Linked DNA regions of Caenorhabditis elegans. The protein of the gene in region 4 purifies or fractionates together with the protein of the main gene of each other region. This does not show direct contact. Each region holds a gene or a part of one and is shown on either strand. Other genes may lie near its edges. The genes, in order: bcas-2, sftb-2, prp-8 and cdc-5L.

Region 1 (6,005 bases), on a different chromosome or scaffold from region 4:
AGAAACTTTTTCAGATTTTCCAACGATCCTGATGCTTTCAACAATTGGACAAGGGCATCTACAGAAATTGTTGCTTCATTCCAACGGTGAATATCACTCGTGATCACTCCGAATTCTTCGATTGAATTGTCAATGTTTTGAAGTCCTGTGTAGAAGGAATCGATGAATTTGCATTTTGCAGTGATCACTTCCGGTTTCTCCATTTCCATGAGCATTTGCAGTGCCAGAAATACTTCTCGGTAGCTTCCATTCGATTTTATAATTTTATAAAGATCTTGGAAGAGGGCTGCAAGAGATAGAGGATATGATGGAGGCCCATTGTTCAAGTTGTGGATCGCCCTGAATGCAGACCATGAATCCAGCCATCTCGCATCTCTTGATAATTTTGAAATGTCAGAGAGCAACATGAAGATACTTGCAGAGTTACTGGATCGGTAAATGTCTCGAACAGTTTTCAGAATTTCATTGAGATCCTCATTAGTGGATGAAATATCTCGAATACTTTGGAGCGCCGAACGAACTTTTTTCCCGATTTCTTCAGTTGTAGTAACATCGAAATATTTTCTCAAGTTCCTTACTAATATTCTATCATCGTCAAGTTTTGAGACATAATCTCTGAACTTGTTTAATCGAATCTTCTCCTTAGCAAGAACTTCCATTAGAGTCCCAAATCCTGAAGTTTTCGAAAAATTTATTGCTCCGAAAAATGTCTGCATAGTTTCTAGAGATTTAGTCTTCGTAGACTCGAATATCATATTTGATGGTGTGAACTTCTGCTCAAAGACTAAGCTGAAAAGAAGCTGAGATCCAGTGACTCCCTCTGTATTGGTAGTTCTGTTAAGAAGCATGGTGATGTCAAAAGCCAATGGGAGAAGCTCTTTGAAATGTGGAAAAGCTTGGAAAGTTTGAATCAACTGATTGTATTTTAGTTTTGCGTTTTCCACGGAGCCATCAAAATTCTTAATCAGTCTTGCTCCAGCAATCAATGCACTCTTGGCACCTTCCAAACCTCCAATTTCATTGATGATTGGTCTTGCTGCATTTACAAATCTGGTTTTCAGTTCTTTATTCCCAATTTCCGCCCAAATCTTCGACAAGTTATTCAGAGTCTTTTCATGTCTTGTTGTGTTTTTAGATCCTGGTTGTGATCCGTCGAATATCTGAAGATCTTGAGAAGAAAGAAGATCTATTGATGCAAGACGATTTATAATTGAATCTTTAACATCTTTCGTTGCAGTGACGTTCATAAAACCATCTCGAATAAAAAATCAACATTTGCACTGTTTGATCCGAATTAGCAATGGCTTCTCCTACACGATGTTCGTAAAAATACAAAAATTCGGAATCTTTTCTATACATTCCGTTCATCTGGAATGGTATTATCTCAAGAAAGTCACCCAATTTTCCGAAATTTTCAGGGCCAAGAGTATGATGGCAAGTAACTAAAACTTCGACCAAATTAGCTTTGTGCACTTCTTCTGGTAATTCTGCATTGAGCCAAGTATTAATATAAGTTCGAAGAACAGTTCCATTTATGTAGCTCTCCCTAGAGAATTTATCCTTTACTAGTTTCGCTCCAAGTTCTCGAATGGAAAATGCCACGTTTCGAGTGTTCCTAGAGCTCGCTTGAATTGTAGTAGCAAGTTGAATTAGCCATGGTTCACGAGGCAATACAGAAGGCTCGTTGAGTGCAATAATTCCTTCTAACCGTTTCAAAGAAGAATCTCCATTTTTAATTTCCCATCTTGTCAATTCAAATGCTCGTATCAATTGTTGATAAACAATATCAGGAATCGACAGTTGTGAAAGAATAATACTATTGAATGGAAGGCTCTTTGAAAATCCACCAGTGAGGTAAAGTTCTTTGAGTGCTTCATAGAAACCGAGAATATTCATTCCCCGAAATTCATTCAGACCAGGTATTGCTTTAGGGTCTGGGTCTTGGAGACTGCCTGGAATGGAATTGGGGTTTATTGAAATTTTAAGGATAATTCAGAACAAAGTCAGAACAAGACAATACATAAATTTTAGAAATATCTGGAAATATTTCCCAACCTTGAAAGTGTCTAAATTTGTTGTCAGAAAGTAAACTAACCAGCAATAGCCACTCGATGTAATACTCCAATGAAGACAATTGCGGAGAGTACTGTAATTTTCCATTTCTTTTTTCATCCACTTTCTACGCTATCCTTCAAGTTGGAAAATTACTACTACTATAGAGCTAAATCGTTTTGAAAACAATTTAAAGTTTTGAGAATTTTTATTTGCTGTCAAAAAGTGACAATTACTCAGTTTTTGCAACTCATAATTTTGGAAGTCGACCAAAAAATGTTTTTCATTGCTTTGGATCTCTAAGCTCATATTTTTCAAAATTTTGGCAATTTGCCAAAACTTCGACTGAAAAGGGGTTCCGAGTTTGACATTTTTGTAGATTTGTATAACCTGATAGTTTAAAAAATCCAGCTCACTGTAATTTAGAGCTTTTCCAAGAACTAGTTAGGTATCATCTTTTGAAAAACCTACCCTTCATAATTTTACAGGAGGCAGTCGATTGGTAGAGAACAGAATAGGATCCCTCGAGAGTAGAAAACTTGCCTTATAAAGACGCCTAGATTCTCATATTTTGCATAACTTGAAACGAATCTTACAGAAATTTCCCATTGTTTTATTTTGTTTCACGAATAAAAATATGTTAAACAAATATGCAAAAATAATAAGGGGCAATAACAGGGACAAGTGGAGAAAGTGAAAAGAGTATCGATTTGAAGTGTGTATAAAACATTTTTTAAATAGAGCCAAATCCAAAATCAGTTCTCCTGATCCTCTTTGTCATCTAACTTTGTCGGATCCAATTTGAGCGCCTTGATTTGTTTTCTGTTATCACTGTCGATTTGTCGATTTTCCATTTCCATTCTGAAAAGTTGAATAAGTAATTAAAAATTAGAACAAAGTATTTTGTCTTACCTATAATTATTGGTAACCATGCTGACCCATGACTGTTCCAATTGTTTTACTTTTTCTCCTGCCTTCAACTGTGCCATTTTTCGATTCGCATGAACTTCCATGACGGCTTCTTTCGTTTTTCGGAGTTCTTTCTCGGCATGTGTTAGAAGATCTTCCATAACTTTGTTTCTCTGAAGATAACTCTCAGCAGCGTATTCATCCATAAGTTCCAGATTGATCTGGCGCATCAGAAGATGCTCATTTTGAGCTTTTGCATTGCGAAGAACCTGAAAACGAATATTATGATGTATTTTTTAATTAGTAGTTGCCTTTATTGATTCATTGAAATTTATCTACTAACCTTCGCCCAAAGTTTTCTATCAACTCCCTTAACAGCAGATGGAGCAGGAAGTTCACAACGACTCATATCCAACTTTCCCATCTCTTCTTTCTTTTTCATTCGATCCATTTCTTTGAGCATACACTTTGTGAGAAAAGCATCATAGTCGGGCACTGGAAGATGTGTCAAGTAATTTTTCGTTGGACGGAATGTCTGAAAACATTAAATTTTCCATATATGGCGGAATTGGCAGAAGTAATGAACCTTGCACTCATGCTCCACAAGTTTCATTGCGAGCTGTCGATCCGCCTCGTTGTACTCTGTGTCAAGGTAAGGAAGAGCATCGACAAGAACCTGAAAATAGTCATTTTACACTGAAACTAGTAGTTTAAACTACTTAAAAACTTGGATAGGTGGATAAAATTGATTTTAGAATCTCAAAAATATTTACCTGATCATCCTGCAACTGACTAGAACCACTTCCACCGGTAAGTGCTAACGGTTTGGAGCTCATCACGTGAACCTGAAATTGTTCTGTCGAAATAATGAACTTCTGAGATTAGAGATAAAGATTAACATGAATTAACACTTCGAAAATAAAAACCAAGAAACATTGACTTTTTGAATTATTTCTCAATCAAATTACTTGTGTTCAATCAAATCATATTACAATTGAGACGAGCAATAAGCAAAAAAAAGTCGAATAGAAACTATTACGGCCGGATTTAAAAAAAAGAAGTTTTCAACGGGAACCATTTTTTCGAGAATCAAAAGGGGAATTTTCAATTTTCAACGGGATTTTTGGAGAAAAAGAGTGGGAAATAGTACAAAAAAGTGGAAGGATCCTTCGGAATGTGTGTGAGACAAATGTTGGATAAAAATGAGAGGATGTATACTGTGTGAATTGGGGGTTTAAAATTATGAATTTTTAAATTCGAAATATGAGTAATTTGGATGAACTTTTTTTGTATATTAATCCGAGTCGCCAAGTTCGATGACATCAGTGGGATATGGCTTGAAGGCACTGCAATAAAACCGTTTAATTGTTTTTTTTTAACGGGAAACAAACTTTAAAAATAAGTTATTTTGCACGAAAATATTAATTTTGAGTGATTTCGAAATAGATTTTTCGTTTTACAATTTTTATTGTCAAATGTTCATAATTTTTCCAACAAAGTCTCACCGTATTTTTACAGATCGCTTTCTGTCTGGAACCTGTCGTTTCGCATGGTGTTGTAAAATTTGTGGAGATTCTGATCGTTTTCGTTTTCTCATCCAAGTATTATTTGCAGAAATGTAGTCTTCAAGTGATTCACATGGCTCTACGATCGGTGTGAAATTCTTCGATTTGGTGGCAGCAAAGAAATCAGGAATTCGAGTTTGAGCCTGGAAATATATACATTTTTGTGAATATTCTAAAATTATTTGCTCACCACAGTTGTCGTCAGATGCACTTTTCTCCGAATACTAAGAGCTAATTCTTTCTGTGTTCTTGTTGCTGGCCAACCACATTCCTTCATCATAATCTCTGCGACTTGTTGAAAATTTGCAGCTCTTGGAATAATTTTCGGAATTTCACTTGATACGGGTGGCCGAAGATACATCGTAATTGCATTGCTGAAAATTAAAAAAAAAATAGATACAGCAACTTCTAATAAAAACTAACTGTACGGCATCACAATTAGGAAATCCAACAGGAAAATTATACTTTTTTCGTCGTAAACGAAGCTTCCGTTGGGTGTCTTCTGAACGAGCTGGAATTTCTTCGCGTACGTATGACCTGAATAATAATAATAAAATATTCATAATAAACACAGTTAGAACAGCTTACGCAAAACGATCTAAAATCACATGAGGATCTATTTCTTCATTTCCGTCGTCACCAAATTCTCCCAGAATATCAAAAACCGAGACAATTCCAATGTTTTGAACACCACGTTGAAAATAGTCGCAACCGAGAAGAATTGCAGTTGAAATTAGATGAGGACGGGAGACTTCTGAAACAACTTTTTAACGATTACTTTATTTTTTCAACGCTGAAAACTACTTACTTTTCTCCATAAACATTCTTCCCAGGGAAAGATGCATGATGTCATGAAGACAAGCGGTGGAAGAAGTGCCGGCGGTAAAGTCAAATCTGTACAAATTCTTTCCGCCAAACAAAAAGTAATCGAAATCTGTCGTTATACAACCACTTGTCACTCCGAGATCTTCTAACCGTGCACATTGAGCTTCACCATCTCCTGGAGCAATGATGACTTTTATCCCAAGTTCTGTGAGAAGAGCCTGGAATTTTTTTCTAATTTACAGGTTATAATATTTAAAAAAAAACATACATTTGTTTTGTACACATGATCCACTAAATTTGTAAACGGAGAGTCTCCAAAACTTCGCCTCTTTCGTGGCACAAATTCGTTCTGATCTTTCTGAAATTTTGAAGTTAATTTTCAAATACACGTTTTCACTCAATTCCTTCCTACCGATTCATGAGCAGATGAACTTGCGTTAATATTGTCGAAAACAACAATAGGAATAATTTTTAGCTCCAAGAGGCGTTGGATTCTGCAAAAAAACGTTAGATATAGTAATTTCGGAACATTTAAAATAATATTCTTACCTTGTGAAAAATGTGACCAGGTAGCTGTTAGGAGTTTGTTGATGATGAGCTTCACAGCCTTTCAGGCTTTCGTATAACCAAATGTGGCCATCTGAACATTTTTTT
Region 2 (8,196 bases), on a different chromosome or scaffold from region 4:
CTTGGCTGCACAGCTTTATTTTCTCTGTTTTTCACCAACCTTTTATGTGAAAAATTAACATAATCTTCAGTTGTTGCAAAAAATTCTGATAAATTTGGTGAAAACCAGTGAAAATAAAACGTTTGGCTCGGGTCGATGTATTTTTGAATAAATTGGGGTCCCGCCACGAAAAAGTGACGAAATTAACTAGAATTTTTTAAAATTCTGAATTCAGCTCATTGAGAGCTTTTAAATAAGTATACATCACGACTATGTTCCACTAACTGTGGAAATTTTGGGTCCTGCTACGAAAAAGGGGTTACAGTTCAGCATTTTCGTGGTAGGAGGCAATTTTTGCAATTTCATGAGTTTATACGAATTCAACTCAAAAATTTAAATTTTTCTGCTAAAAATTGTTATCCGAAAATTTGAATTTTCGAATAAATTTGGGTCCCGCCACGAAAAGTGACGAAATTACAAAAAAATTCCTAAAAAATCTGAATTCAGCTCATTGGGAGCTTTCGAATAAGTATAATCATGACTAGGTTTGGTCAATTTTTAAAATTTTCCAAAAATCGGGTCCCGCCACGAAAAGTGACGAAATTACAAAAAAATTCCTAAAAAATCTGAATTCAGCTCATTGGGAGCTTTCGAATAAGTATAATCATGACTAGGTTTTGCCAATTTTTAAAATTCTCCAAATTTCGGGCATCGCCACGAAAATGAGGTTACTGTAGCATTTAGCATTTTCTTGGTGGGAGCCGATTTTTGAAAAAGTTTATTCAAATTCAGCTCGAAAATTAAAATTTTCCGCTGAAAATTTAAATTTATCGGCAAAAAATTTTTGTCAGCAAATTGGAATTTTCGAATAAACTTGAGTCCCGCCACGAAAAGCGACAAAATTAAAAATAAATTACTAAAAAATCTGAATTCACCTCATTGAGAGCTTTCGAATAAGTATAATCATGACTAGGTTTTGACAATTTTAAAATTCTCCAAAATTTGGGTCCCACCACGAAAAGCGACGAAATTAAAAATAAATTACTAAAAAATCTGAATTCACCTCATTGAGAGCTTTCAAATAAATATAATCATGACTAGGTTTTTCCAATTTTTAAAAATTCTGCAAGTTTTGGGTCTCGCCACGAAAATAGGGTTACTGTAGCTTAGCAGTTTCGTGGTGAGAGCCAATTTCTGCAATTTCATGAGTTTATTCGATTTCAGCTCGATAATCTAAATTTTTTGCGAATGAATTGTTATCTGAAAATTTGAATTTTCCGCCAAAAATTTCAATGTTTTAAATGTTTTAAACAATTTACAGCATCCAACCAACGCAGAAAGCACGACCGCTGGCAAGAATCAGGAGAAAGGTATTTTCTTTAATTTTTAAATTATTATCACAACAAAAAAATTATTAAAATTCAAAAATTAAAGTTATAACTACAGTACCCCCAGAACACTAACTTTCTCTTCGAGACCCAAAAAAATCAGTTTACTCTAACTACAGTAACCCTACAGTAATCCTAGAATACGCATAACTTTTTAACTCCATTTTTTACAGATAAAGCTGCATTTGGTTACCTCCTCGAGTACACGAAACGGAAAAATGTGATGCCATGGAAAGCGATGGGAATAACGATGGGAAGGCAATTTGTAGATGGAAACACAGGAGGGACAGGGAAAGAGTTAGTGGCAAAGCTCTATCCTCTGCAAACGGACGATGTCAACCTTCAAGCCCAGGCCGAAATTCAAGCCTATGCCCGCCTCATTCCAGTCGCCAAACGGTCTCCCAACTTTACGCCTCTCAAGACGTCAGCTGTGGTTTAAAAACTTCCCGAAGAGTTGCTGCCTGACGATGACATAGCTCACATGCTTGTTTTGGTGATGGAGAATGCCGGATCGCTGTTCGGCCAGCGTGACCTGACGGCGGACGTAGCGACGAGCATCCTACGTCAATTCGTCTTGTCGACGATGCTTGCAAATAAAGCCGGGGTCTTTCAAAATGATCCAAACTTCGGGAACTTGCTTGTGAAGGAAACCAAAGAGGACCAGCTGGTGTTCAAGATGATGGTGAGTTGCTAATTTTTTTTCAAAGATTAGGAAAATTTTTAATTTCAGTTCCGGATCCCACCAGCACACCACACCAAGATGTTGCACAAGTGGCTCAGGATTTGAAGGAACTCGCGGCGTCAGTTGCAGATCGTGATGTTTGTGACAATCTGAAATCCATAGTTTAAAATAATTATTTCAGAAGCTTGAACGTACTTTTGCTGGATGTGTCACAGCCACTTCAATGCAGGACATCTATAATAGCGACTTGTTCAAGGACTGATGGTGGGATCTTCACGACTCTGCTGCGAAAAATTCTCGCTTAATTAAACTTTCTGTGATTTCTGTTTTAATTCATTCCTGTCATAAATACTCGATTTATAAATTTTTTCCCCATTTTTTTCTCCTGGTTAGAAAGAAAATATTTATTTTTCATATTTATTTATTTTTCGTCTTCTTCATTTGCTCCAAATCCATTTCTCTATTGAATTCTTCTGTTGTTGAGCAGCTCCAATCTCTGAAAATTGGTAGATGGAAAATTTAGAAATTTTTTGAATTTCAAAAAAAATTGCTTTTTTTTATATTTTCCAATTTTTCAGATTTTTTAATTTTTTTTAATCTGAAATTTTAATTAATTGTTCAGTGAAAGTACATTAGAAAAATTAGAAAAAAAATTACTGCAAAATTTGAATTTAGCTGACTATGTTTTGCCAATTTTTGAAATTCTCCAAATTTTGAGTCCCGCAACGAAACGCATCGAAATTTCAAAAAAATATTGCAAAATCTGAATTCAGCTCATTGAGAGCTTTGAAATAAGTATAATCATGACTAGGTTCCTTTAACTTTGGAAATTTTGGGTCTCGCGACGAAAATGGGGTTACTGTAGCTTGACATTTTCGTGGTGGGACCCGCTTTTTGCAATTCTAAAAAAATAAAGTTTTTTTTATTTTCGATTATTTCTGGAAGCAAAACGAAACACGTTTTTTTTAAAATTAATTTTCTAAATTTACTTATGATTTTCGACTTTTTTTAATTTTTATTTTTTGAGAAACCGAAACATTTTGAAATTTATTTTTTTTATTTTTAAAAAATTATTTTCCAATTTTTGTGCACTTTCAAATTCTTATAGTAAAACTTTTCCAAAAATGTATAAAACTCTCAATTACAGAATACATTTAATTGAAATTGTGGGGCGATTATTTGGGGTGACAGAAAAATTGGAATTTAAGCTTAAAAATTACAAAAAAAAAGAGAGAAAGAAATAATAAATTAAAACAATCAGATTTTCAAAATTTGAAGTCCTTATGCTTCTTGCCACTGGATCCTGACGACGAGGATGATGACGTCTTGTTCTTCTTGTCATCTTGAACTTTGCGTTTTCTCTGAAAATGAAAATTTAATTTTTTGAGACGATATTTTTTTCTATTTTTTCAATATTCACTTTTACAGTACTCATATAGTATCCCTACAATACTACAACGAAGAAAAGAAAACACTTTTTTTCAAAATTACAGTACTCCTACAGTATACCTAAAGTCCATAATCCCATCCATTATCGTTTCAAAAAGAAATATTTTTTCAAAACTACAGTACCCCGGTATCTCCACTATTTTTTCAAAATACAAAAACAGTACAGTATCCCTACAGTACCCCTAAAGTTTTACTACTACTACAAAACACCTACAGTACTCCTGAACACTGGTGTCAGAATGTCTCTTTTCGGTTTGATCTCCGAAAAATGCGGGAGTAGAGACGCAGAGTTCTCAACTGATTTTGCATGGTTAAAAACGTGCCGCCGTCATTTTTTTTTTGGGCAAAAAATTCCCGCATTTTTTGTAGATCAAACTGTAATGGGACAGATTGGCACCGCGTGCTGAAGTAATTTTACAGTAATCCTACAGTACTACTAGAGTACTTTTACAGTAAAATTAGGGAAATTCCAACAAATTTCAAATGTTTCTTTGAATTTTCAAGAAATTTTTTTTTTCGACACACTAACATTCTGTTTGGCAGCGTGCTCAGCCACCATATCCGTCAAATCCTCTCGATCCTCATCATCATCATCCCGATGCTTTTGCTTTCGGAGCTGCTCCTCGTACCGAGCCGCCAGTCCTTGCTCATCCATATCAATAGACTCAGGATCCAGCGAAATCTGAACTCCATCGTCACGAACCGCATGCTTCTTGGAAAGATCATAAGTATGGGAGGATGCCATCATTTGTCCACCGATACGTTCGTTCTTCTTCTCCGGAATGATATGATAGGCAGCCGCAGGAGTGTCTGTTCCGAGCACAGAGCTCTCTTTTCCTTTCCGGAGCTCAATCGTGTCAGGAGTCTCGATTCCAGTGATTCCAGTCGTCATTCCAGATGGTGTGATCATTCCCTCAACCGGTGCAGGTGTCTGGAATCCTCCTTCAACATCAGCATCATCATCGTCGGCATGTTCTTCCTCCTCCGACTCTTCCTCGTCACTGCTCTCGTCGGATCCGATCTCTCCCCAATATCGCCGCTCGATTTGCGATTCGTCTTCGGGCTCGAAAGCTGGAGCGGCCAATCCGAACACGTCTCCGTACAGAGGATGTCCGTACTCGTCGACTGGTGGTTTTCCCCAACCTCCTGCGTGATAGCCGAATGCGCAGCCCTCTGAAAATTTCAATTTTTTTTCCATTTTTACGGCTTTAAAGTTGTAGTCGAAATTTTTTATTGCTTTATTAGACTCGAAATCGTTTAAACTACCGAATTTCATAAGCACACTTTTTTAAAACCTCAAAAAAAGTTATGGTGGCTCAAAAAATGACCTACAATCCGTTAAAATTGAAAATTTAACCAACTTTTCAATGTGGCATCTCCCAAAATTTACCAAAACTTGTTTTTTTTTTGAGTTTTTAATTGATAAATTTGGAAAAATTGATCAAAATATAGCACCTCGCATTAAACATTAATTTGTCGTGTCGAGACCCAGTATCGTATTTTTTGCTTGAAAATCGTGAAAGAAGTTATTTTTTATTTTTCTAAATTTGATTTCATAATTTTTTCAACCAAAACCAAATTTTTTCTGAATTTTCAGACATTTTTTTTTCGTAAAATGTATTTACTGAACATAAAATTGTCAAGTTTGTCTTAATTTCTTTCAGGATAACATGTTTTTGCGAAAAAAATATCTGAAAATTTCATAATAATTTTTTTTGGCAGAATTTATGAATATTTGTGTGTTAAATTATGCGAAGAAAATTTTTTATCAAAAGAAAATTATTTATCATTTTGCAAAAATTTGGCGCTTAAAGCGGGTCTCGCCACGATCTCAGTTCTTGTGGTCGGTACAGGTGCAAAAATTCACAGATTTGTTAATTTTACGTTGAAAATGAAATTTAGCAGGCAATTTTCTAGGTTTTTGGTAATTTTATGTTGAAATGTAAAATTTTTCATAATGTTTTTTAGATTTCTGCTCTAAAATAGTACATCCAGAACATTTTACCGTACCAGGAATCGGCGCATTCAATCCAGGAATCTTAATATGCGGAAAACTGGGCGGTGGTCCGTAACGTTGCATCGCAATCAACCATGGCGGTGGAAACTTGAACGCATTCGATCCGATGGGCATTCCCAGTGCAATTCTAAGCTCATCCGACATTTCACCCGGCTTCTTGTCTCTCATCATCGCCTCCATCTCTTTTCCTTCATAGTAGAGCTCGCCCATTTTTGTCATAGCCGGCTTGGTTTGCCATTTGAAGAACGCGTCGTGAAGTTTTTGATAATCAATATCGATTTTTCCAAGCTTCGGGCGGGCCCGCTCTCTCATTTTTGATTTAAGGCTCTGGCTTTCTTCTTTTTCCAGCAGCGCTTCTCTCATATCCTGAATTCCGGTTCTTTTAATAAAATCTGGCAACTCAAATGGTGGCCGTTCGAATCCTCGCTTTCCGGCGAGATATTTACGCTTTGCATTCCAATGGCGTGGAACTGGAACTGAATTTCTATAAGATTTCATTGCGACAAGGAGATACGGATCACGAGAAGTCACATCGGCCCATTCAACAACATCGGCTCGAAGTGTCGTCTCTTTAAGCTTTGCAATACTCGGTTGAAGAGAAATTCGGAGTTTTCTACGCGAAAGCTTCTCCTCTGTGTTTTCTTTGGCACGTTCTTCCATCTCCTCTTGAATAATTCGCTCGGCCTGACCGACTTTTCCCAAATCATCCTTTTTCTCGCCTTTGGAAACGTGATGGCCGTAGGAGAAGCCGTCTTCTGAGTCGGTGGAGATCTGGAAGCCGATATATTGGAAAAACATTAACAAATAGTGATATGTTACCTTAAAAGCATCAAAAATTGCGGAAAAGTATTGAGCGTGCGGGTTATCCGGCTCAATTTCAATTGTTTCACCGATATAATCGATTTCCACGTCAAGATCGTCACCATTTTCCTCCTCTTTTTTCGGCTCCTCTCGTGTTTCTATTTCAGCTTGCTTCGTGGCTTTTGCTCTCTTCTTCGATTCCTTCTTCTTTTTGCTTTTCTGCTGTTTTCTCTTCAACTCCTGAAGCTCCTTTTTAGATAGGTTCTTGTTAGCCTCATCGTCTGAATTGTAGTCATCCTCGCCTGACATCTGAAAAAGGAAAACATTTAGTTGAAAATTGAAAAGTTTTCAATGAGGAAAAGAGGTTTTTAACCGCAAAAACGTTGAAAAATCTAAAAATTCGCAAAAAAAATTTAATTCGAAGAGTACGCAATGGGTCGGTGTTTGCGTACCAAACACTGAAACCGACGCCAAATACTCTCCGTCTCTCATTTTTGCACACTGTTTTATCATTGAATTTTCTCTTTTTTTTTTAAATTTTTTTAAAGCTTTATAATGCTTTAAAAAGATTAAAAACAGAAAATTCAGGTTGAAATGACAGAGCCATCTACATCAGGAGCCCAAGACCATGACGATTATCTAGTCACTCTCGTGAGTTGCAAATAAGCTGAGAAATACTGCCATTTTTTATAGATTTCTTTTTTCAGAGCTCCCCTCAACGCCAGTGCACCATCCGAGTTGTTCAGCCAGCTTCTGCATTAAAACGTGATTATTTATAAATATTATTTGTGAAATTAATTTTTTTTAACCTTCAGGAAAACTCCCAACTTCATCAGTTCCCGAATTCAATCCAGACTCCTACGGGGAATCGATTCCCGAAAATGCTCCAAGGCCTGTCTGCGAAACCTGCTCCGTGGCCTGGTCAACATGGGCGGCATACGAGTTCCACATGCTCCAGACTCATATAATATACCGCCCGTTTCGATGCTCTGGATGCCGGAACTTGAATTTTCACACCGAAGATGAAGGAAAGCACCACCTGGAACATTTTCATGGTGGCAAACCTGGCAGTTTTCAGGTGAAATTTAGTATTGCGTTTTATATTTTATTTAATTAATTTTTAGCTCATCAAACAGACGGATTTTGCAAAGGAAAATCAGTTGATCGAATGTCTGGAAAATGCAAAAACCACCGAGCAACTCGGAATTTCGAAAGAACGACTTGAAAATGGGCTGAAAATGATTGAAAAACTTCAAAAAATCAAGTTTAAAGCTGTGAAAGTGCATCTTCCATGCTGTCTTCGCCATGAAATGATCTCAAAACACACAGAAACTGAAAAAGAAGCGCCGCCACAAGAAAAATCGGTTACAAATGCTCAAAAGCCCGGCAATCCAGCACTTCTGTCTCTGGAATCCCGAAACTACGACTACGAGCAACAAGATACTGTTGGAATTTGATAAAAATGAAATATTCATTCGATTTTCCGTCAATAAAACTTCATCACAAGATTTTTATTCGTTTTTTGAAATAAAAATAAAATACAGATTTTAGCGCAGACATTTAATGTTTTATTCATTTTTCTCAGTTTCTTCTGCTACTTTGGAAGCGCTTTTTTTGCGAAAAAGCTTCAGTGACACAAGATAGGAAGGCTTTACAAGAATGTGTACTGAATTCTAATTATTAAAAAATTTTATAATTAAAAACCGCGAGGCACAACGCGAAATGAAGAGGCGCAGGCGTTTGTCCGCAAACACCGTCACGCAACTTTGCAGACTTGAATTTTTTTTGTTTTTCTTTTCCAGATTTTTCCAGTTTTTTCCAGATTTCTCTCTAAAATTAATACTTTAAAGCAGATAATTTTCGATTTTAATCAACAAATT
Region 3 (7,425 bases), on a different chromosome or scaffold from region 4:
GAAAAATTAAAATTAACTATTTAAAAGAAAAGTTCAGAAATTTTTGAGAAAATTATCTTTGCTAAAAGTATATCATTTTCAAACAACATTTCACATAAACTCACTTGCTGTCTGCCATCAAAGAAGGCCTAGACACATTCCACTTGTATTGAGCAAAGAGAAGTACGTCGGCACACGAACTGTTCATTTTGTAAGACTTTCTCGGATGGATAGTTTCTTTTTGGACTGTTTGAATCTCAAGTGCATCGAGTTCCTGATCGAAAACTTGACACAGATCCATAACTACTGACTCGTGAATCTTTTGCCACAAGTGAGCACGGAAGATTTGAATGAGAGAAATCTTGAGCGTCGGGATCTTTCCGTGCATGAAAATTCCAGTCAAATCGAGTTGTACTTGGAAACCGACGTAGACATTAGCACGGTTGATAGTTGGAGACCACCAGAGAGTGAAACGACGATTCGGAATTTGATTAAGTCCAGAACGTTGGGCGTTTGTCAGTTTCTTGAATTTCATCGACTCTTCGAATCCAGATGCACGTTCCCAGAACAAACCTTCCCATGTTGGGAAGTAGGTTCCCTAAAAATACACATATAAGACAAGAAAGCAAATTATATCTGTTAACACTTACCCTGAATAATGTATGTTCCAAAATTCCTTCTACTCCTCCAAGTGCTTGAATCATGTCTGTTCTATAGTTGTTCAAGTTCCATAACTTTCCGTCGTGTCTTTGATGTGTCCACCAGAATGGATTTTGCTTCAGAATTTGATAAGCCTTGAATTCGGTTCTAACACGCCATCCTTTATCGTATGCCAATGTGTGACGATCTTTTTGGAACAAAGTATTGATTCTCGGAATTCCACGATCCCATGAATCGTCGAGATCTTCCAAAGTGAGTCTTCTATTTTGAGCGTTGGCTTCTTGTCTCTTGAGCGCATATTCTGCCCACACACGAACAGAATCGACAAACTCTGCTTCCCAAGGTTGAATATATCTGTACAGATTTGGAATCAATTGGTCTTCATCGTGACTCATTCCGGAACGGAAGTGAGTGACACCTCCAGCTTCCGTTTGTTGCATCCATCGAAGATCAGACTGTGGGATCAAGACGTGTCCCATAGATAGCATTCCAAGTCCTCCGATTTCTTTTGGCGTATAGAAAACAACTGGAGGGAATCTTGAGGGCATTTTTGAGTTGAGTCCAATCTTGATTCTCGTTTGAATTTTATTCTCACATTTCACCAATAAATCCAAAAGTTCTTGAGTGTTCACAACAGCTTCTCTGAAGTAGGTCATCAATCCGATCAATGCTGTATTCCATTTGTTGACAATTTTGGTGAACGTTGTAGATCCAGAAGACATCAAAATTTGACGAATTCTGTTATGGAATTTGGACAATGACTCCTCATCGACCTTCAAGAAGCACTGAGCAGTTCTTTCCTTTGTCACTTCGTTTTGAAGATTCCATACACCATCACGATGAACAAACTCTTCATTAGCCGTACGACACTTTGGTAGAATACGACACTCGAATCCGGACATGTCGAACAACATGTTCGGGTTATCCTTACTGTACACTGATACGAATGAATTTTCCCACTCGACAGTTGTGATGGAACGTGGGAGACGGTTCTGTAAAATAACAAATATTTAAAAATCAAAATAGTAAATTCTACATTTTAATGTACGCCTGTCAAGTAGACCTTATCATTCAAGTTAAATGATGGATCTGTTCATGAGGCGGATAATCGCTTAATTTCCATTAGTTTTCGAGGAATTATCAACGAGCAGCCATCGAATAATTGCTCGCTTTCTTATACCTCGTGTTAAAATTTTAAAAAAATAATTAAAAATAAAATTTACCTTGATATCCCAGAAGACAGCACGACCCAAATTGACATCATGTTTCATCAATCTCATTCTAGCGTCTCTTGGCCAACACTTTTTGTTGTTATAACCGACAATATTCTCATTATTCGGATCTGGATGCTCTGTCAAGTATCTTTGAATCAAATCACGTGCTTCATCAGCACTGAAACGGAACATGATCCAAACTCGGTCGATGTACCGGCAGTAGAGACGAATAGGGTGACCAATTTCTGTGGCAACATCCTGGAATTGCAAGAACTCGTTTGGACATTGGGGCGGACCGGCAATTTCGGAAGCTCGTCGAAGTCCAAGAACAAGAAGATCAAGAACTAATCCATAGAATTGAACAATAAACGAAGCAAATTGTAGACCACGAATAATTCCGAAAGAATTGGTGTGGTTCATATCCTTATAGTTGATGAGAACGTTGTTCTTCGAAGTCATGTAATCGGCAATATTGTGATCCACAATCAATCTGAGCAATCTATTGAGAAGTGTCAAATCCATTTTTTCAGCAATTTTCTCCAATTTTGTTTCCATGATGACATTACACTCTCCTTCACTTGTCTCCCAAACATCTTGAAGATTGTTGAGACCTTGACACCATTTGTATGTAAGAAGCGGTGGTGGTTCAGTATCTCCTGGTTTCACCCATGCCGGGAACAATCTTCTCTTGTCTGCTTCATACCAGAGGTATTGATCGAGGTAAGCGTCAGTGACTTTCTCAAGAGGCTCGATATCGTAGACTGGAATAAGATGAGTGTAGAGATCCATAAACTCAATTCCGACTTCTTTGAATGCACGCTGCGTGAGCATGTGTCTCTTGATACGAGACAAAGCTTCGTGAGGATTATCATAAGCCTGTTCAATTAAAGCCAGTTCTTCTCTTTGGGATTGATTCAATCTATTCTTCACACTGTAACTTTCCTTCAGTCTTTCAAGAGCCAAAATAAGAAGTTTTGTGTCGTGTTTGTAAGAAAGTGGTGGGAAAGGAATCGGAGAAAATCTTCTTGATTCCAGCCAATGTACTGTAGTCGTGTAAATTGCAACAGCTTCTTCTGCAGAGATATATGGTCCGTCCTTCAAGTAATTGTGTTGTCTTTCTTGCTCTGATTTCAGGTATAATCTTGTCAATCTACCCAAGTTCTTCTTGCACACAGTTTTGTCTACTGTCGCTCCTCGTCTTACACGTTCTCTGTTGTAATGTGCCGAATTAGTCCACCAATCAGCCTTTGCTTTCACATAACGTAGAATCATATTTTCAACTGGAGTTGGCAGTCCGGGAACCTTCCATGGAATATTAGCCTTCCAACATCTCCACGCCTCTGACAAATGCTGAAGAATAACACGAGCCTTATTTTGTTTGATTCCGTCCGGCATCATATCCAGAATGTCATGCATGACAGCAGCACTGAAAATATTAATAAATAAATTCGTTTTCTTGCCATTTAAAGCTTACCGTAATTCAAGATCGAAATGAGATTCAACTCTTTGCTTGGTGACTGTCTTGGCCACTCCCTTTGAATGTCTTCCTTCGAATTGTCGAGACAACAGATTTCCAAGCCATCTCTCGAGCAGTGGTGTGATTCCACGCAAGAAGAACAACCAAACTCTCCATCCCGGAGCCCAAAAACCACATCCAGGTCCTTTACCAACCGGCCCAGTGTTGAAACGATAGTAGATGAGATGCTTGAGATCCTTGCACATTCTGACTTGTCTCATGAGCTTGTACTTGTAACGATACATTCCGGTCAGTTGACCGACGTGAGCAAAGATATATTGTAGACCATCTGCAAGTTGGTACGCATCGACGTTGTTCAAACGATACTGAACATGGGCATCAACAACAAGTTTTGTGAGACGAAGGATTTCTCTGCACAAATGGAATGCATTTCCGAAACGAGATTTCTTTCTTTCCTTTGTTGTCAATGTTTTAACTGGTTTCAAATTGAAGTTGTAATCAAGATGAAGATAGTTGAGATTCTTTCGGTGAATGAGCAAATTGAGCATGTTGTATCCTTGACGAAGAACTTGCAATCCAGCTTCTACCCAATCCAGGGTGGTTGTTTGGAAGAATTTTGTTGCCTTGAAGGAACGGAACAGATAACGACGCTTCTGGGGCTTCGGTGGACGATGTTTGAGAGCGTTCAGAACAAACACCTTGAGCAGTTTCTGATAAGAAACACGAACTTTCACGGGCATTCCTGAAAAATTGAATATATTATTTCAGCTTAGTATGCGAGAAACGAAACGAAAAAAATAGAAACAAAACTAACCTGCTGGACAATGTTCTCTATACCACGATTTGACAAGTGGTACATCCACTGCTCTTCTCGTTCTTCCCGATCGAAGATTGAATGGCCGAGGGGCCCATAGAAGTGCTAAACCATTAGCCGTGTTATCGGTGTAGAGTGGAACGTCTTCAAAAATGGGTCGAACATCTTCAGGCAGCTCCCACTCGTCTTCCTCTTCACCTTCTGGTAGATTTTCTTCAGTCTGAAAATGTTTTGACATACAATACGAATTGTCTCCAGTTTTATTTCTAGATATCACCGACAAAAAGGATGATTTCTCGCCTTTAATGGAAAATTTATATTGCGAATTTCGGCTACTGACTACCTTGTAAATTTATAGGAATCTGTTTATAATATCCGCATTTTATTTTAAAACATTGCTGAAACTTGTAAATAACTCACTGCTTTCAAGTTGCTGAGAACGATTGGATTGATCAATGGATCATAGTAGAATGCGGGAAGATCTGGGTCTTCAGTTTTGATAAATACAACTGAAGGAGTATGATACCATGAAACTTGAACAGGCAGCGAGCTGATCAGATTGTTGTACATGAATGGGAATGCAATTCTGTACTCGGTACGAATTGGAGCTCGAATAATAACTTTATTGATATCATTGAACTCGTTCCAGTCTTCATCACTGAAAATAATAAAATAGTATGCGTCATAACACAACTGGAAGCTTTTCACTTACGTATGTAAATCTTTTACCAATGGTTCGAACTTCGGGCCTCCTGGAATTGCAACGTTGAGTGCTTTAGCAGTGAAGAAACTTTTCATGTCAAACAAGTAGAAGTAGTTATCATCTACTAAATCGGTAAGCAGCTGATTTGCAAGACGATACAATGTGGACATCTGTGGAATACTGAATGCCCATTTTCTGTACGTTGGGCCGTTCACAAATCGAGTTGTTGCAAGAGGCTTGTGATCGTAGAACCATTCAGCAACAGCTCCGTCTTCTTCTGGATCTAGTTCCATTTGAATTGGCTCTAAAGGCTCGACATCCAGAATATTATCAGCATAATCGAGAGGCGGTTCTTCATCGTCAAATGGAGGGAATCTCATTCGCTTGAAATGACGACGATCACGTTTTTCTCTTCTCATCATAATCCACATCGTTCCCCATTGTGCCATGTAGACCGGCTCGATGACACGCGGAATGTCGTTGACAAAAGTGATCGCACCGGTGATGTGATACAGAACTTTTACATCTCTGATTTGTTCCCAGGGCATCGGCATGTTCTCCAGTAGCTTCAAAACGGCATGTGGCATATATTTCAAAGCACCGAGGTAGACTCTTTTATCATGACGATATTTGCGAGAAGTCATATCACCATGATCTCTGATAACTTTTCGGACGTGCTCAGGTGGCATTTCTTCTTTCTGCGTATCGGACATTCCAAACTTCTTTTTCTCCGAATACCGCTTTCCTTGAAGTTGTTTCCATTTTCGAGACTTTTCTTCCAGAATTGAATCCGGGATAGCATGTGGTTCAGTTTGGGGATGACCGCCGTAGTTGGCCATACCTATAACACACTATATAAAAATAGAATTAAAACTAATCAATGAGTTGACGAGCAAGGAAAAATAAGTATTACTGTAGAGAAACTGGAAAGAGAGATTTGTCTTTGTTTAGACTGTAAGATCACATGAATTGATAGTTGGAATTGTGCATTACAGTTAATAGCGCACAAAATTTACATTAAAAAACGGAATTTATTCAGACTGAACCAGAAAATCATGAATAAAAACCGATAATTTCTATTTTCGAAAGTAAAATTTAAATTTCCTTAAATCTAAACAACGCGCGCAATTGTGTCGAGTGGAGCGTCGTACTTAGATCTGCAGGTGTTTGAGGTTACGGTGCCCGGTAATTCAAACACTCTTCGGCGTAATGTTTCGATCAATAGACCCGCCTCTTCTTGGCAGCCATTATTTGCGTTCGCGTTCGCCGCCGCCGAGGAAAGACATCTGCCCGAAAAAATTTATTGATTTTTCGAAAACTTATTGGCATTTTCTATTGCCCTCAGAATCTGAGTAAAGCTTCTGAATTGCAACTTTTCCTTTTTCAAGTCATGTGACTGGGGTAATATCATTTTTTCGAAACTGTTCCGAATTTTGTACAAATATCAATTTTTCGAAAAGGAAATTATTTCCAAACTGTCATTGTTACCCATTTTATATTGAAATGTACCACATTTATTCCTCATAGACGAGTTCATGAAGATCTCCTTTTGAAAACTTTAAAAACTGTCCAACTTAAAAAAAAGGTAGTATTTTCGAATATCAAACGGCGATTTCGTAATTTTAATACTTTTCTAATATGTGTAATTTTTCGTAGATCGGTTTCGAAAATCGTATTGCTTATTTCGTAACTCTAACAAAGAACTCCTGCTTTTCGTAAATAATTCATTCGCGGAGTTTCCCAGTTGTTGTGTCTTTTTGAATTTAATCATTTTCTTTTATTTTTATCGAGATTATCGGGAATAGCTTTCTTTTAATTGAATTTATTTTCAGAATAACCTCTTGCTCGCTCAACTTATCAACAGAGGTAAAACTTATTCGCAATATAATATGTCTTCACGTTCCTCGTGGTCATCCACGGAGCAGATTAATCGCACAATCAGTTCCAGAGGTTAGTGAGAATAGCTCAATTAATTTGAGAGTTTAACATTATTTTCATTTTCAGCTGACGATCTTCCTCCACAACCTCGCCGTCTAGAAGTAGTTTCGAAGCAAGCAACGCGTGTGACGGCACTTTCTACAAAATTGGAATGGAAAATCGAACAATTTGAGAAATTGATGAAACTAATCAAAAACGGTTCGAATCTTATTTCAAGAATGTTTAGTGTCCCTGATGCGCCAACAGTTTGCTGGGAACTTCATGTGTATCCAAATGGAAAGCGTGATGAAGATGTGAATAATGTATCGTTTTTCTTGAGACAAGTTGGATTAGCCGTAAGTTTCATTCATATTTTCTATATATAAAATATAAAAACCTTTTTCAGAGAGGAGAGGAGCCCATCATGACAGAATTTCAAATTTATGCTCTCGATGCTAATAATCAAAGAGTCAGTGTATGCAGAGATACCAAAGATTTCACAAACCAACAAGGGCGTGGAAAGTTCCAAGTTTCGCGTGATAAGATGCTTGGGGCACTTCGATCTGACGGAACTCTCTTTTTGATTTGTGAAGTTGAATACTTCCCTCCTGGATCAAAAATATCAGTTGAGCCAGTTGTGGACGAAGATGTTAGCACAGAG
Region 4 (9,494 bases):
TCCATATTTCAAAAATCAATCATGAACACAGGAAGTGACATTTCACACCTGCTCCTGTCTTCCCGTGTTCATTTCCCGTTCTGATATCAACATACATCTGCTCCCTTATGCCATCACTCATTAGACAAAGACATCCATGATCCATGAAAAATCCGGAACATTTTCCTGTGAAGCTGGGGAAAATGAAAAGGACAAAAAGGTGAAAAAGTTGCAACAATTTTTCTTGTGGCGCACGCGCGCGAAATCAAACGTTGCGAGACGAGGAGTAATGAGGCGAATTGAGGAGGTATTGTGGTTACGCAACAAATCAATTTTTCTTTGGAAAAACTCTTTGGGTTTAAGGGGGTTTGCATGGATATTTAAATAAGAAGAAAAAGACTATTAATTAGCATGCTAAGTAAAAAATACACACATGGATCAGCACACACTTTTTGATCAAATGTTCCAGGCTTTCGAGCGATTTTTTACAGAAATAAATCATTGCTTCTCGAACAAGGGTGGGCAAACTTTTTCAAAGTCAAGAAATCAAGAAAAATCAAGAAATTTTCTCCGGCCAATATTTTTGAACGAAATTGGAAGAAATAGTTAAATTTATCAGTTTTAACTTATTTTTTTAAACAAATATCATCAGAAGGAACTTCGAAAACGGGCAAAACGTGCAAAACTAATAATTTTCGACAAAAACGTTTTCAATCTTTTTGAATTTCTTTCTGAAATTCTCGTTTTTTCAACTGAAATTGGGTTTTATGGTGTTTTTTGAGTTAATATATTCTGAAAAGGACAAAAATAGCGAAAAAAAAAATTTCGGAAAAAATAGAAAACCCAGTTTTTCAGCCTAAATTTCGAGTTAAAAAATTTCTTAATTTCTTGACACAATTTATCAAGAAATCAAGAAACAAGAATTCTTGACAAAATGTCAAGAAATCAAGAAATTCAAGAAATCAATCAATCAAGAATGCCCACCCCTGTTCTCGAAGACCCAAAATTTCAGTCAGTCACCAGATTTGCAAGACGCAAAAAGTAGTTTAATTTTGAATAATTACTTTTGTATGACCCTTGGTAAGTACCCATATGGCTCTAAGAAAAAGATTATAGAAAATTTTTTTCTGAAAACATGTTTTTTTTTCGACAACAATTTTAGAATTAGAATTAATTGAAACTCAAATCTGAAATTGAAACGCCTATTTTTACAGAACAGTTCAAAAATCAAATGAATTCTATAAATCCAACTAGCTTTCTCTTGCGACACACCCTAAAACTACAGTAATCCGTTTCATGAATGTTTGATCAGCCGATGAGACTCCTCACACCTCCGTTAGTAATTTATTCGTTAAAAAGAAAGAGAGAAGCACCTTCGTAAACATACACACTCAGTTTTACTTCTACCGTATTCCATTGGACCAACCACGCCCCGCGGGAGACCACATAAAAATGGCAACATTCCTTTAAACCCACCAAAATCACATTACCATGTATAAATGCATGTATCCCCCTTTGCTTCGTTCACTAACACCATTGCGCAACACTTTCCCAAAAGCCGGTCGGATATGTCGGAAGCCGTTTGTAAGATAAGGATTGCCATAGTAAAATGACGATTCATTTGTTCCACAAACGGATGATCGAAGCCGCTAAAACACAGAAAGAGAGAAACAGTTCAAAAACACAATAGGAGATTACGGAAGAAAGGAAGAGTGTGATCCGAAAGAAGCGAAAAAAAACAGAGGAAGAGATAAATAAAACGATATATAGGTAAAATGTTAAAAGGAACAAAAAAGCTGAGGGCGCCAAAATTGAATTAGTATGTAATCGGTGCTGATGTGGTTGAAGCTGCATCGTGGATTTCAATTTGAGACAGTTTCCATTGCTTATCTGAAAATAGGAAAACCATGAGTTTCAAGTCACAAAATAAATGTAAGGCACTTTGAGTGACCTAATAAATCAAAGCAGGTGTCACCAAGAGACGACCACACAGCTTGTTGCTGCTTCTCTCAAAAGACTGTATTGTGCTCATTCAGTCAAGTGTCAATTTGAATGACAAAACGAAGAATGAATGAGATCTCTTAATCCTATACACAATTCTTTTGGAATTTATGTGCACAATGAAAGTTGTACTATTCTAGTTAAGGGTCAGAGGAACGAATGAAAACTTACTCGACAACTTTGAATACATCTTTTGAAGATCCTTCTCCCGAGTTTCTTGTGTTGTGACTTCTTGTTGAAGACGCCCGACGCGTTTGTTGATTGCCTTCAACTCATGCTCTCCGAGACGTCTGAAAATTGATTATATGAATTCTAAAAAATAAATATTTGTGCTTACTCAAAAGTTTTCTTTTCAATATTAGCCATCTCAATCTCGGTGGTGACTTCCTGATACTTTTTACACAGCTTGTCATGAATAGCCTGAAATTCAAAAATCACTATTTGAAGAAGGTTAGGCACAATTTGGTTCTAAAAGAAAACTTGAAACGAATTCCGTTCAAAAGCTGACCGTAGAACCCCATTCAAAAGTAATTCCGCCCATTTTTCTCAACGTTTCTCGGAACTTTATTTAATTTATTCGAGGATTTTGCGTAGTTTCTGTGTCGACTCTTCAAGTGAAATGAAAAAAAGAAGAAGAACACAAGTCATAAATTACTGTAACGTCTTTCTAATCCACCCACTTTCTTCTCCGAACCCTTTCAACATCACTCAGCACTGTCGCCCATTTCAACACCACAGGGGGGAGCACCCACGCGACAGATAGGCGTTTGAATGGGCACATCCATAGAGAGTGGAGGACTATGTGAATGAATTGAATAGCAGCAGAAACCAACAGGCGGGTTGGTGGTGGGAGACCCGAGATCACCATTAAAATGGACAGAATATCTTGTTAATTGAAGAGAACAAAACGGGGGCATGAGAAAGTCAAATAAAGAAACATTATAAAGGGAAAACTAGGAGATTTTGTTTTAAATTACAGAAAATAGACCGCAAATATAACCGTAAAAAATACCATACATTTTGCTAGATTCTTTATGATTTTTCCCCGTTTTGCAAAAAAAATTAAAAATGGACTAATTATTTTTTGAATTGCGGGTTTTTTCTTGATTACCGTATTTCTTCTATTAATATGGCCTCCCTATTAGACTTGCACTCCCTATTAGTATTGCTCCTTGAACACCCTCCGAAAATTAGTATTGCACTCCCTATTAGTGTTGCACTCCCTAATAGTCTTGCGTCTACTTTTTTTTGGTACAAAATCACCTTACTAATTTTGAGATTTTAACAACATTTTTTGCCTACTGTGCAACAATTTTTGGAAAAATTTCTATGAAATTGAAGTTATTACACCTTTTTGTTGCAATTACAATCAAATTTTCTGAATTTTCACACAAGGTTCGAGTTTTTTCAGAAAAAAAAATAGTAAGCTCAAAGTCAGAAAAATGTTCTGAAAATTAGTATTGCACTCCCTAATAGTCTTGCACTCCCTATTAGTATTGCAAGCGGGAAGACCATCGAAAAATAGTATTGCAGCCATATTAATAGAAGAAATAAGGTTTTTTTTTTAACATGTGATATGAAATTTTTCAATTTTTCAGAAATTTTTCCGCAAAGAAAACTCGATAACCCCGAATAAATTATTTTAAACTTCAAAATTAGTCTAAAACGACATTTCCACATAAATTTAGAATTTTGTTGAAAATTGTCTGAAAATTCGACAAGCCGTGTTTCAAACCTAATATTAAAGAAAACCAGTCTGATTAGCCAGAAAACGCCAAAATATATTGCTTCTGATACTTAGTGAGTCATTCATTCACGCGGAAATTCAAAAATATTAGAGTTTTTTTAATTTTCCAAAGTTGAAAAAAATCATAAAAAATCTAGAATTTTTTTACAGTTAAAGTTACATTATTTAGTTCCAGGAACAGATTCTTAGACGGAATGCTCACCTGATAACCGCCCAACTTGACTCTCAGCTTTTTCTCAACTTTTGCAGCTCGTTTCGCCCGTTGATTCATCCATCCTCTGTACATTTGGAATTCATCATTCAAAGCTTTCATCTGTTCTTCTCGTGGTAGGATAGCAATACGTGTGAACTTATCTTTACTCAGAATAATTTCCGAAGTACATTGTTCGACAACTTTCCACATTAGACTGTTCAATTCTGGTCCTGATTCAGCTTCTTGTTTGATTAAATCAGCAGCCGCATCAAGCTCTTCACGGGAGTAGATTACTGATGGTGGCTTGTTGTCTACGTCCCAAGCAAGAAGTTTGCTCATTTCGGCTTTGACCATGTCATCTGCTGACGAGTTGGTTGCCCGTGTAGCTTGTTCGTTAACTTTTGTTGGTTTTGGAAGTGATCTTTGAATGACTTGTGATCGCATTTTCATATTTCTGACACGATTCTCCGCATTTCTCTTTGCTTTATTTTCAGCTCTTTCAGATGCATCTTCAATCCATCCATCTTCATCTTGGTTACTCTCATCTTCAACAGCTCCTTCAACTTCATCATCATCAGGTCCAACGACTTCAAAATCATTTTTTGGAGTTGGCAGACTGGCCAAAGCACGCTTCAGACTAGCTTTTTGTTCTAAAGCTGATCCAGCAATCTCCTCGTTAATACGCATTTGATCTCTGAACGGAGTTGCAGCAACGCTTCCAGCTGGAGTAGCGAAACCACCTGGTGTGGATCCGGGAAACTGTGATTGAGTTCCTGGCGTGGCTGCAATTGCATGGAGAACTGTGTTTGGAGTGGCCGCAACTTTGGGAGTTGGTAGAACGCCTTTTCCGAGTTCTGATTCGTGAAGTGGGGTGTTCAACCCTCCTTTCAATGCTGATTCGGTATTCTGTAGAGCCATTAGGTTTTCGAGTTCTAATTGAACCGTATCCTTGAGCATCGGTGTTCTCATAGTTCTTGCAGCAACTGCATTGGCTCTTGCTGATTCAGTGTAATCAGTGAGCAATCCACTTGTAGCTGTTCCGTCAATATATTGCCGAACACTGTCAGATGCATGACCAATCTTGACGATTTGTTCAAGCTCACGATCAGAAATCTGTGGTTCGGGTAGGACCAACTTCGAACGTTTTTTCTCTTTGATGTTGAATACCGCATCGGCTTCTCCTTGTTCTTTACGCTTTTTCAGTTTTTCACGATCCTCTCGTCGCATTTCCATTTCAATTTCGCGGCCACGTGGTTTTTGATGATCTTCGATGGCTTTCTGGTTTGCATCTTCCACGACATATCTGTCCTCAGATGGATTATGGAATCCAGCTGGAACATGTTTTTCGAATGGAATCTGAAACAAAAAATGGGATTAGAGACACTTAGAGACAAATTTTTCAATTCAACTAACCTCCTCACTGTAGTCAATTTGGTTTCGCTTTGGCTTGAACTTTCTGGCAAAAGCTAAGCCAGCTGCTCGCATCTCCCTTCGTTTTTGAAGCGAAGCCAGACGACGTGCATCAGAAAGCTGACGCTCGCGAGCCTTTCTCTTCGCCTTTTTTCCTTGAGTGTTGGCCAAACGTGCACGAGCCTCAGAGAGCATTTCCAATTCTAAAACGTGAAATTAGAGTTATAGACGAGTTGAACACATACCATCATCATCCATGTCAATTGGATCAGGTCTCGCTGGTTTTGTCTCAGGTGTTGGATCGATTTCTCCAGGTTTTAATTTTCTAGTTTCAGTAGCTTCTTCATCAAGACCTTCTGCTTTTCGTTGAGCTTCATCCAGCAAATGCTCATATCGTTCCAGGCACTGCGCTGATGTTCTTCCGACAATTGGTGCAATTGTTCTCCATTGCGTTGGCATCAGCTTAGCGAGATGAAGAAGTTTTTCATCTTCTTCACGTGACCATTCTGTCTTTTTAATTCCTGGATCAAGCCACTCGAACCAACGAGCCTGAAATCATATTTTTGTGCAATCAATTTTTGAAATTAATCCGAAATACCTTGCATTGTTTTGCTGATTTTCTGTGCAACAGTGAAGCAATTCGACTCCATTGATTTTTTCCGTATTTCATAATAGCTGCTTTGAGGATTTCATCCTGAAACGTTTTATTTTTGTGAAAACAACTTGATTTGCAACTAACCTCTGTATTCTTCCACACACCTCCTTTGATAATAACTCGCACCATGTTTGGTTTTGCTTACTGCAACGAAAACTAGATTTGCGAATTTGAATGGTAAAAATTGAATTTGGCACCAATTTGATAGATTAAAGAATTTAAAATAAAGTCAACTCGGTAAATATTTTAATCAACGTTACTATTTTGAAAGCTAACGAGTGTTACGAACAAGTTGTATTGATTTTTAAATAATTCGATACTAAAAATTCCCGCAGAATACATGGAGATTACTGAAACAAAAAGGCAAAACAGAAACTATCAAGAAGAAAATGTGTATTTTTCGAATGGAGCTCGCTTTCGAAATGTGGAGGACTAGTACACGAAGGACAATACGAGGCCACGGCCATTAACCGCCTTTAAATAAAAAAGATCGACAGTGCGCATAAAAACTTCATTTTCAGTACGAATTAGATATAAAAAAGAAACATATTGGGTAGAGTTAACATTTGCGAGTTTAAATCACAAGTGTACTCTAAATGCACATAAATCGGAAACCATGTGAAAACAGCTATAAAACAATGAAAAATTATTGTTAAAAGAAGAAACAAAAACGAGTTTCTGAAAATTCTATAGGGAAAGGGGCACAAATAAGATTATGGAATATGTTGCTAACGTGCAGTTTTAATGGCACAGATGTGAAAATCTGACACGTGGATTAGAAATGTTTCAGAGACGAATGTTATTGTTTTTACCAGTCGTGAGCATGTACGTGAGCAAGCGTTCCCATTCATTGTTATCGCCGAATAAATCCTTCAAACTTCGAACGAATTGGAACATCCCCACAATCATAGTAACATTCTGTTCCTCGATTAACTTATCGAACAATGAATGGAGATTCAAGAGTTTTGGGTCAAATGAAGATGTTGCATCGATTTCTTCGATAATTGGGCTTGGCATCTCACCAACATAAGTAGTTGTCATAGATTCTGAAACGAAAATGATTTTAAAATCTAACGATTTTGACACAAACCACGACTATCATGAACAATTCTAGTCGATTCCATCAATGAAGATGTTGCAGATTCATCACGAACTGAATAGTCGACAAAGCACACCGAACAATCTGGTCCAACAGACTTTATCACATCGAGTGCAGAATGTGGAAAGTGAATGATGTTGGCATCGGACGAAGTAACTGCTCCACGTCTCTTGACAATTTGTGAAAGCCACTCAAATTGACCACGCTCATTTTTCCAAACCATATCGATGTTAAGAATTCTCTGCAAACATTAAACAAATTTCTAAACAACCATCTGTAAACTCACGTCATCGTTTCCATGAAAATATCCACCCACAAATCGTTTTGTATCATCATTATCAATGTTTTCGAACATCACATCCTGCTCAGAAAGCGTCAAACCCAGTACTCCATGCAATGTTGCGAATACAACATTCGAGGGAAAGTGTTTGAAGCTGGCTTCTTCCGGAATCGGGAACAAATGAGATAGATGTACATCCACGAAATATTGATCATCGACATCAGCCAACAAAACCAACACTTCACCATCTTGTTTAGCTTGTCCAACTATCAACACTCTATAATAGCGCACCTCCGCTCCTTGTCGATAAACGTAGACTGCAGCTGATCCCGTGCGGACGGTTTCACGCTGGAGCTCCACAATAGGCGCTACCATCACGGCCCGCAATATATTCCCCATAGTAGCAACCTTTTCAACGTCCATTTCTTCACGTTCTTCATCTTTTAAAATCAACAAAAATCCGCGTGGCGCAATAAACATTGCAGGCTTGACCACTTTAACAGATTGTTTCTTGATATGGGAATTTCCCAGTGTCATCCAACGTAAATCAGACTCGACAGGATCCCGAAGATTGTTCTCTAGGAGTGGCAATGTAGTCGTGTCAACGTGGGGATCACAAAGGCGGACCATCATTTCTCCAGGTTGAGTTGCATAAACTTTGAAAATGTTCTTTCCTAAGTCGACGATAATCTTATCACAATCCGAAAGCGCTTCATAAGGAATGCTACCATGAGTTTTTACGACTTCAGCAAGATTTTGTGTTGGATTGCGAGGCTTGATCGTACGATGACGAAGCACTGAATGATTGCGACGAGATGATTGAATAGTTAGAATAGATGTGTTGTCTGTAAATTCAATATTTGTTCATTAGCAGCGAAAATGTTTTCTCACTGTCGTCTTCTTGAGCACGCGACTGACGAAGAATTCCATTTTGTGGAACGAGTGACGAAGATACCGGACATTGTTGGCTTGCCACAGAGACAGTTCCAAAGCGCAATGCAATGTCGGTCATATCAGCGGTTCGATCTCGAGATATAGCATTTCCTGGATAGTCATCGATGCTTTCTTGATTCGAGTTGAAAATTTTTGAATCTTTGCTTCCATTTTCTGGGGGCACTTCGAAACTGTTGAACCCGTCACTGAAAATTGATAAATAACATCTGAAAAACAGTGATCAAAATGTGCCCTTACAAGGAATCGGATGTTTGATCTCTAATAGTTGAAGGAGCGGATACTACAGATTGTTCAAACGCTGAAGCTGAACCTGTAAAATAAATTACTATTGGAAAGCATCATTTGATCACTTTTACCGCCAAAAGATTCAGATTGAATAGAAACATCTGCTGACGGATTTTGTTCACTTTTTTGAGTTGGATCGGCATTGTCACGATCAATACAATCAACGAAGATGTCACCTTTTTCGCTAAGACGCCAGAAATGCAGATATTCGTTGAAAGGAGGAACATTGAGCTGAATGTATAGTTCACTGAAATCAAAACATTCAATTTAGAACTGACTATAAAAGCGCAACAATACTTTTGCGCAAGTGAATTACCTTTCCGATATGTTCTTTCCCCATGCTGGTAAACAATACAACTGTTTGAACTTATTGGCAAGAGCTGCCAGTGTTACAATCTTGCGATTTGGCTCATCAGGATGTGAAACTCCTATCTCATCAGCATATTCTTTCAAAACCTCTGCAAGGTTTTTTACGCGAGAAATTGTTTTTGCTGGACCCAACTTGTGTCTTGCTTTGAATCTAAAAAACAAATCATTGACAACGATTTTTTAAACTTCCACATACTGCTCAGGTGTTCCTCTCGATTTAGCGATTTCCTCTGACGCATACGGACCTCTGAATGCCCGGAATGATGACCCATGAGTGCTGAGGTTATTAGTAGCTCCTGAACCTAAAAACGAGCGGGCCGGGCGTTTTGAGCTCGACTGCTGCTGGACCATTTCGATAATATCTTGGTTGGCTTCAGTAGTTCTTGGCCCATATCGGTGTATTCCATCACGGCCGAAAGTGTGTACAATTGACTCCGAGCATGCTTGAAGAAGATCGTCCAAAGTCGAACAGTTATATCTTTTCGGATCAGGACATGCACCATAAGAATCCCTGAAACAAAG

Evidence for each region.
Region 1: the proteins of cdc-5L (region 4) and bcas-2 fractionate together in Caenorhabditis elegans (co-fractionation; one large-scale study listed by BioGRID). This does not show direct contact.
Region 2: the proteins of cdc-5L (region 4) and sftb-2 fractionate together in Caenorhabditis elegans (co-fractionation; one large-scale study listed by BioGRID). This does not show direct contact.
Region 3: the proteins of cdc-5L (region 4) and prp-8 fractionate together in Caenorhabditis elegans (co-fractionation; one large-scale study listed by BioGRID). This does not show direct contact.

What each region holds. Positions count from the first base shown.
Region 1 is NC_003281.10:6,242,023-6,248,027, forward strand, and holds bcas-2 (Pre-mRNA-splicing factor SPF27), read right to left. Parts: upstream 3,807-6,005; 5' UTR 3,798-3,806; coding exon 3,735-3,797; intron 3,638-3,734; coding exon 3,548-3,637; intron 3,497-3,547; coding exon 3,305-3,496; intron 3,231-3,304; coding exon 2,965-3,230; intron 2,914-2,964; coding exon 2,808-2,913; 3' UTR 2,650-2,807; downstream 1-2,649. Other genes in the region: gen-1 (GEN1 Holliday junction resolvase homolog), read right to left, coding at 4,256-4,307, 4,467-4,669, 4,717-4,900, 4,950-5,063, 5,115-5,280, 5,335-5,569, 5,620-5,709, 5,764-5,845 and 1 more.
Region 2 is NC_003283.11:126,666-134,861, reverse strand, and holds sftb-2 (PSP proline-rich domain-containing protein), read right to left. Parts: upstream 6,626-8,196; coding exon 6,335-6,625; intron 6,287-6,334; coding exon 5,509-6,286; intron 4,672-5,508; coding exon 4,028-4,671; intron 3,411-4,027; coding exon 3,315-3,410; 3' UTR 3,191-3,314; downstream 1-3,190. Other genes in the region: W03F9.2 (C2H2-type domain-containing protein), read left to right, coding at 6,911-6,967, 7,024-7,081, 7,132-7,394, 7,441-7,773.
Region 3 is NC_003281.10:8,162,638-8,170,062, reverse strand, and holds the start of prp-8 (Pre-mRNA-splicing factor 8 homolog), read right to left. Parts: upstream 5,691-7,425; 5' UTR 5,687-5,690; coding exon 4,857-5,686; intron 4,803-4,856; coding exon 4,565-4,802; intron 4,524-4,564; exon of another isoform or gene 4,391-4,523; intron 4,365-4,390; coding exon 4,145-4,364; intron 4,073-4,144; coding exon 3,328-4,072; intron 3,280-3,327; coding exon 1,863-3,279; intron 1,850-1,862; exon of another isoform or gene 1,680-1,849; intron 1,632-1,679; coding exon 630-1,631; intron 578-629; coding exon 105-577; intron 1-104. Other genes in the region: bath-42 (BTB and MATH domain-containing protein 42), read left to right, coding at 6,737-6,797, 6,852-7,120, 7,171-7,425. UniProt on the Caenorhabditis elegans protein: Functions as a scaffold that mediates the ordered assembly of spliceosomal proteins and snRNAs. Required for the assembly of the U4/U6-U5 tri-snRNP complex.
Region 4 is NC_003279.8:8,487,926-8,497,419, reverse strand, and holds cdc-5L (Cell division cycle 5-like protein), read right to left. Parts: upstream 6,130-9,494; 5' UTR 6,115-6,129; coding exon 6,070-6,114; intron 6,025-6,069; coding exon 5,929-6,024; intron 5,880-5,928; coding exon 5,576-5,879; intron 5,534-5,575; coding exon 5,334-5,533; intron 5,277-5,333; coding exon 3,930-5,276; intron 2,401-3,929; coding exon 2,318-2,400; intron 2,271-2,317; coding exon 2,152-2,270; intron 1,870-2,151; coding exon 1,796-1,869; 3' UTR 1,565-1,795; downstream 1-1,564. Other genes in the region: lotr-1 (HTH OST-type domain-containing protein), read right to left, coding at 6,772-7,031, 7,076-7,325, 7,371-8,209, 8,256-8,503, 8,556-8,628, 8,675-8,850, 8,920-9,123, 9,169-9,483.